2 linked regions of the Oryctolagus cuniculus genome follow. The protein of the gene in region 1 binds, or shares a complex with, the protein of each later gene. Links are inferred from orthologs where the notes say so. Each region holds a gene or a part of one and is shown in the gene's direction. Other genes may lie near its edges.

Region 1 (3,562 bases):
TTCTGAGCCTGTTCAGAAGGTCCTTAGCAACAGGGTAAGCTGATTCTTACCTTTCTAATTCCATTTTCCTGTAAACTTTTTGTTGTATCCCATTTTATGGCCAATATGTTTAGGTTGGCCTTGAATTCAAATCTTAGAGAATGTAATAAACCCAGTGGACCAGACAAGATCCTGATAAATTACTTCCCAGTTACTTGTCCCAAGACTAAGCAGTATGTTTATTTATTTATTTTTTAAAGATTTATTTATTTTAAAGGCAGAGTTGGGCAGAGGCAGAGAGAGGTCTTCCATCCGCAGGTTCACTCCCCAAATGGCAGCAATGGCTGGAGCTGCACTGATCCGAAGCCAGGAGCCAGGAGCTCAAGGAGTTGGGCCATCTTTTACTGCTTTCCCAGGCCTTAGCAGAGAGCTGGATTAGAAGTGGAGCAGCTGGGACTTGAACGGGCACCTATATGGGAAGCCAGCACTGCAGGTGGTGGCATTAACCGCTGTGCCACAGTGCCGGCCCCTCTTTTTTTCTTTTTTTAAAACAAAGAATTGTGCATTTGAAAGTAGAGTGACTGGAAAATACTCTGGCTGCTGGTTTACTCCCCAAATGGCTGCAGTGGCTGAAGCCAGGCCAGGCCAAAACCAGGAGTCCAGAACTTCATCTGGGTTTCTCACATAGTTGTAGGGTCCCAGCCACAGCTACTTCCCAGGTACATTGGCAGGGATCAGAAGTGGAGCTGCTGGCACTTGAGCCTGTGTTCTGATACGGGATGCCGGCAGTTTAGCACTTTCTGCCGCAGTGCTGGCTCCGCTGGTTTTTTTGTTTTGCTTTGTTTTGTTGTGTTTTTTTTTGTTGTTTTGATAGCCCGTAAGCACACTGAGTGAAGTCAGATCACTTTGCTTCTTACAGCCCATCATGTTCAGAGGTGAAGTCCGTCTGAATGTGGAAGAGAAGAAGACTCGAGCTGCTAGGGAGGGAGATCGTCGCGATAACCGCCTGCGGGGACCTGGAGGCCCTCGAGGTGGGCTGGGTGGTGGAATGCGAGGCCCTCCCCGTGGAGGCATGGTGCAGAAACCCGGATTCGGAGTGGGAAGGGGGATTGCTCCACGGCAATGAATTACCCATCGCTGATCATCACACAGCCGTACAAACCCCAGCTCCTGCAGAGTGGTGAATTTCTTCAACCAGCCTTTCTTGGAGTATGACCTAGTCTGTTATAAACTGCTTACGTTTGTACAACTTCACTTCTCTTGTGTTAATGGTGTGTGCTCCTTTTCCCTCCTTCTTCCCTTTAGTCCTTCACTTCCAATTTTGTGGAATGATATTTTAGGAGTATTGGATTTATAAAGAAGATAAAGACAAAAGACTGAATTTCCTTGCTTACACTTTGCATATACAGACTGGATTTTTTTAAAATAGCCATTTCCCCAAAGGAATGTGTCTTGCTTATTACTGACATTTGGTATGTTTCATTCATTGGAATATTCTTATTTTCTACATGTTCCAGAAACCTGTGAGATACAGGATTTGATAAACATTTTGAAGGCAAGAAAAATCCAATTGTTCTATGAGAGTCATGACCTTCTGGTGTAGAAAAGTTGCCACTGAAAAATTTAACAAGTTTCATTTTCTCTAGTATGGCTAAAAACTGAATAAAAGGTGTTAATAGAGTTAATTTGTTTTGGTATGTGATCACAAAACAATTCTGAAACACTGTTTCTACCACTAAAACTTAAATTGTGAGATAGGTTTTAAATGTGTAGTATGCAACTGATGAGCTTTTCTTGAACTGTTAGAATTTTTTTGAAGTAGAATTTTTTTCATGTTTAATTTGTATTTGTAAAAAAAAATAGAAAACAAAAACAAAAAAAGTCCCGAAATCCAAATAACAAAAAACCAGAGCAAAACTGTTGTGCCTTCTCTTTGATTCCAGTCTTGACAATTGTTTAAACAAAAATAAATTAAAAAAAATTCTAGATTTGTTTTTACCAGGTTAAGAGTATGTGGGAAATTGTAGAATCCCTTTATCAACACCTTGTTTGTTTGTCATCTGTTAACATTTGTTATGCCTTATTCTAAAATTGAGTCTCAAACTGGAATGCCTTTGAGGACAGATATTTCTATAGAGGTCCTTTGACCTAAATAGTTCTGCATTTGTATTAAGTTTTATTTTGATATCTAACCGGATTCCTAATCATAGCCCATAAGAAGGAATGTGACTTTAATATTGGACTTCACTACTTCACTGATATACTCGAGTGTCTGCAATTTTTTTTTCCTTTAAATCATAGCCATATGGTAAATTTTCTATTTTGTTAAGGTTCTCTTTTATTGATGGGCATGCAGTGGGTATTTCTTGGAAATGGCCAAATTTTTATTAAAATATTTCTGGAAGAAAATTTAATCTGGTAATATAGACTAATACTCGTTTCGCATACTATGTTATTTGTTGAGTGTTGTGTGTGAGGGTGTGAGGTGGGTGAAGGTTTTGTTTACACAAATGTGAAACAAGCCTTTGTGTGATAACTGATCACTAATGGAAGGACAACTAAGTTGTCAGTTTAATTTATTTTCTTAACAGCGTTCCTCTGCAGGACTGTCATTGGAGCAATAGTATAGGAATAAGAATGTTTCATTTTGCAGAAACTGTTGGCTGTGAAGGGGTTGGATAAGTGTTAAATGAATTTTGATATTACCAATTTGGTCCCGCTGTTTCAAATACTTGAAAAAATGGTAGCATCTTCTTCATATAAAGAAACTTAGGCGACTGAGTCATTTGGCTCTTAAATAACTCTTTGGTAACCACTTCATTTGACCCACGCCTGTCATAATTGGAAAAAGCTTGCACTTTTGTAGCTTATGTTAAGCTTGTTTTGAAAAGAAAGCTAGCCTGAGATCCTTTTGAGAAAAACAAATGGCAGTAACTTTGAAGTCAAAAGGTTTTACTGATGAGTGCGCAATCATACATGTGAAATCAAGGGTTCTTCTTACTCAGAGGTTTAAAGTGCTGAGTAGATACAGTGATTCTCAAATTCTAGTTATGTCATAGAGGGTGTTTCAAAATAAGTGAGATGTGGGGAGAGTGAGAGAGACTATCTGGTGTCATTGGATTGGGGCCAAGGACACCAAATATTTTCTAACAGTGAAGCAAGCCTTTTTTCTTTTCTTTTTTTTTCTTTTTCTTTTTTTTTTTTTGACAGGTAGAGTGGACAGTGAGAGAGAGACAGAGAGAAAGGTCTTCCCTTGCCATTGGTTCACCCTCCAATGGCCGCTGTGGCCGGCGCGCTGCGGCCGGTGCACCGTGCTGATCCGATGGCAGGAGCCAGGTACTTCTCCTGGTCTCCCATGGGGTGCAGGGCTCAAGCACTTGGGCCATCCTCCACTGCACTCCCTGGCCACAGCAGAGAGCTGGCCTGGAAGAGGGGCAACCGGGACAGAATCCAGCACCCCGACCGGGACTAGAACCGGGTGTGCCGGCGCCGCAAGGTGGAGGATTAGCCTAGTGAGCCGCGGCGCCAGCCATCTTTTAAGAGCCCTAATGTTACCTATGGCTGTGGATGGGTAGACTGGTGC
Region 2 (4,071 bases), on another chromosome or scaffold:
CAAAAAAAAAAGAATGGAGAAATAAAAAGAATTTATTCCTGAAGGGGTTCAAGACTTAAACTGAAAACACAATCTTAGAACATCGTTTACTGTCACAGATTTTGAATTTCACTTCATATACAGTCATGGAAAGGATGTGAGTGGGAGTTACTTCTTTTCTTCAATTTAATCCTTAGAGGAAGTAGGTGTTCAGCCTAGCAGGTACAACATCTGCATCCCACATTAGAGTGCCTGGGTTCATCTCTCAGCTCCAGCTCTTGACTCTAGTTTCCCACCACTGCGGAACCTGAGAGGTGGTGGTGATGGCTCAAGTAGTTGGACTCCTATCACCCACAGGGGCTACCTGGATTATGTTTCCAGCTTCTGGCTCTAGCCCCCGCCCAGTCTGGGCCATTGTGGACATTTGGACAGTAAACCAGTGGATAGGAGCTCGCTCACTCGCTCTCTCTCTCTGCCTCTAAATAAATGAATAACTCACCTATGGGAAAGGGTTGTAAGTTAATCTGATCCCATGACTGCTGTTTTCCAGGCCCTGTACTTTCATTTCTTTAAAAAAAAAAAAAAAAAGCAAACAACTTTTATTATGAAATAGATAACAGGACTTTTCTCTTTCCACATGAGTCTATGTATTTCAAAGCTTCACCAAAAATCATAAAAGGTTTTGCAGGTTTATGTGTGTAGGTTTTGTGTGTGGTATACAAGCTCTTAGAAGGTATTTTCTTAGTTTTAGACTATGCTTATATGGGAAGAAATATATTTATAAAAAGGGAGAAGGCTACATTTTGGAGAAAGGAAAGTATAGGAGATACTTCTCTAGATTTTAGACTAGAAAAATCCAATTCTATTAATGAAGGGCCAAAAGGAGATAATTGGGTGAGTGATTTGAGCAGGCAAATGGGCAAAATAAGAAGCAGATGTATATTCTTAGGATTGTGTTGCTAGGTAGGTGTTTATATTTTTAAAAAATTGGAACTTCATCTATATTTAAGACAGTACTTGAATCTTGAATTTATATTTCTGGCTTAAGATTTGCCACAAGAAGGAAAAACTTCAAGTTTAGAAGAGCTTTACTAAGAACTCTTAAAAAGATCTCTAGTTAGTGAATTTTGGAGACATGGGTTGGTGTAATCTTGACAGTACACTTCCTGAGGTATACTTCAGGTTGTGTCAGTTTTCCTAGAACAGAGGAGCAGTTTACATTCTAGAACTTTGATTGTTCTAACAGATTTGTGACCATAGAGATCATATCTCATATTCACTTAGCCTTATATAATATTTGCTCTATGTTGTCAGTTTGATCTTGTTAATGTAACTAAGACAGGTACTGTTAACCCCTTTTTTCAAAAATAAAACTCAACTGCTTGCTTCAGGTTAAATATTTAACAATATGAAAAGTCTTCACTCCAGAGTATCTGGGAATATGTCCAGGTTGGCCAAAGTTCGCCTGTCTTGGGTAAAGGAACAAAAGGTAATTCCCTTTCTAGATCTAAATTTTCCATGCAGTTTCAGGAAATGTATATTGTATGTTTGTTGTATAGGAAGCACAATCTAGTTGCCTCCTAGAATGTCATGTTATTTAATAGATATTATAATATGTATTAAAATATGAGTATCAATAAGGATAATGACAAACAAAATGTAGGCAGTGTTTTGGCAGAGATGGTACAATATACAGAAGAGGGAGATACTTGTTAGAAGAAGAAGACAAGGCTTTATGGAGGAAATACCTTTTGAGTTGAGCCAGGAAGCTGGATTAGCAGAAGAATTATAAGCAAGGTGGATTCAACATAGAAGGAATAGTATTAATGAAGGCATAGAGATGGGAACTTAACAAGGCTTGTTTAAGGAATTGTAAGTAGCTTGGTGTGAATGCAATATAGGCTGTGTAAAGGTAAAGCTAGAGAGACAGTTGTAAAAGTTATGGTTTAGGAAGGTTCAGTATTTTAACTTGGTTTCTACTTTGGATTAGTAGCTATGAAATGTTTTAGATCAAGGACTGTTGTTTCCTGGTTGTTTCTCAGGGGCTAGACCTCTCTTTTTATTAAGTGACAATATCTCAGAAGTAAAAGCATCCTAAAGACTTTTCTAAAGTAAATATCAGTTACTTAGAGAGCTAAGAATTGGCATTAGAGCATTCTTCTGAACATACTGTGATGTTACGATGATGACAATCATTGGTGAAGTCACATTGAGGACTACTTTTAGGGTTACTTGTCAGAAAGCACTAGAATGAAAGATACCAACTTTTATTCAGATGGTAAAGAAATGTGCCATTAGAAGAGTACACTGTGTGCTCTAGCCAACAGTTACCAGTGCTCATTCTGTAGAGTAAATGATGGTCAAAGAGAAGGTGGTAGTGGGTGCGGAATTAGCTTATTTCCCCCTATATTAAAAAATACCCGCTTTAGGGCCCAGCACTGGTGTAGCATGTAAAGCTGCCGCTTGCGATGCCAGTATCCCGTATGTGCGCTGGTTTGACTCCTGGCTGCTCCACTTCCAATCCAGCTCTCTGCTATGTCCTGGGAAAGCAGTAGAAAATTGGCCAAGTTCTTGGGCCCCTGAACCCACGTGGGAGACCTGGAAAAAGCTCCAGGTTCCTGGCTTCCAACTGGCCCAGCACCAGCCACTGTGGCTGTTTGGGGAGTGAACCAATGGATGGAAGACCTGTTTCTCTCGCTGCCTCTGCCTCTGTAACTCTGCCTTTCAAATAAATAAATAAATAATATATAAAATACCCACTTTAGATTTACAAGTATGTGTACTAAGTCACTTAACTTTTCTGATTTTGGTATTTTTAAAAATTATTTGTTTTCATTTTATTTGGAAGGCAGAGAGGCAGAGAGAGATCTAGCTGCTGATTCACTCCATAAATACCTGTAACAGCCTTGGCTGGGCCAGACCAAAGCCAGGAGCCAGCAATGCCATCCTGGTCTCCCACATGGGCGGCAGGAGCCCATGTACTTAAGCCATCTTCACTGACTTCCTGGGCATATTAGGAAGCTCAATTAGAAGTGAAGCAGCCAGGAATTGAACCAGCACTTTGATATGTGATGCAGGCATCCCAAGCAGTGACTTGACCACAACACTCTGACCTCTAAGTTAGGTCTTATCTGATGACCTTCAGTTAGCATTGGAGGGCAAAGATTGTGTCAAATGCCTTCTTATTTCAGTGTCTGGTACATAGTGAATACTCAGTATGCATTTATTGAGTTGATTTATCATAATCATAATATCATAATTTGGCTTTTATGGGGGGTGGGGGTTGTTTTTTAAGTTTCCTTAACTTCAGAGTTAGAAAACTTGTGAATCTTAGATCTGTCATTGACTTTTGGGAGTCCATTTAGCCCAAGTCACCTATACTTTCTGAGATTCAGTTTCTTTTTTTTTTTAAGATTTATTTTTTATTTATTTGAAAGAGTTACAGAGAGATGTAGAGACACAGAGAGAGGTCTTCCATCTGCTGGTTCACTCCCCAGATGGCCGCAACAGCCAGAGCTGCGCTGATCCGAAGCCAAGAGCTTCCTTCGGGTCTCCCATGTGCATGCAGAGTCCCACGGACTTGGACCATCTTCTGCTTTCCCAGGCCATAGCAGAGAGCTGGATTGGAAGAGGAGCAGCCAGGGCTAAAACTAGCACCCAAATGGGATGCCAGTGGTTCAGGCCAGGGTTTTAACCTGTTACACCACAGTGCCAGCCCCTGAGATTCGGTTTCTTAATGTAAAATAGAATTAATAAAACTTCAGAGCTTAATCACAGGCTCAGTTGAACTGTATCTTTAATACATGTTAGTGAACAGAATAGCAATATTAGGTTGTGGTTTTGCTTATAGTTGTTTTATTGGGTCTGAACCAGCATTTAAAAAACATTAAAACAATGCAATGATAGAATGGACTGAAACAGAAAAGAAAATATCGTTGAATGGTACTTACCTTAAAGTAAGTATTTTTATTTCATGAATCTTCTGTTTCAGTTACCTTTCGTTCTAAGTTGTGATTTGAAGCTGCTGCGTTCAAAATATCTTACTTTTTTCTTTTTTTTCACTTGTTGGTTCATGACCAGAAAAGTTTGAGA

The links. Proteins that work in one complex are often made in the same cells at the same time.
Region 2: G3BP1 (region 1) and ELAVL4 share a complex: the UniProt entries of both Homo sapiens proteins name them as parts of the TAU mRNP complex. The link is inferred for Oryctolagus cuniculus from reciprocal best matches to the Homo sapiens genes G3BP1 and ELAVL4.

Annotation. Positions count from the first base shown.
Region 1 is NC_091437.1:38,784,783-38,788,344, forward strand, and holds part of G3BP1 (ras GTPase-activating protein-binding protein 1), read left to right. Parts: coding exon 1-34; intron 35-898; coding exon 899-1,105; 3' UTR 1,106-3,562. UniProt on the Homo sapiens protein: Protein involved in various processes, such as stress granule formation and innate immunity. Plays an essential role in stress granule formation.
Region 2 is NC_091438.1:122,750,294-122,754,364, reverse strand, and holds the start of ELAVL4 (ELAV-like protein 4), read left to right. Parts: upstream 1-1,221; 5' UTR 1,222-1,387; coding exon 1,388-1,468; intron 1,469-4,071. UniProt on the Homo sapiens protein: RNA-binding protein that is involved in the post-transcriptional regulation of mRNAs. Plays a role in the regulation of mRNA stability, alternative splicing and translation.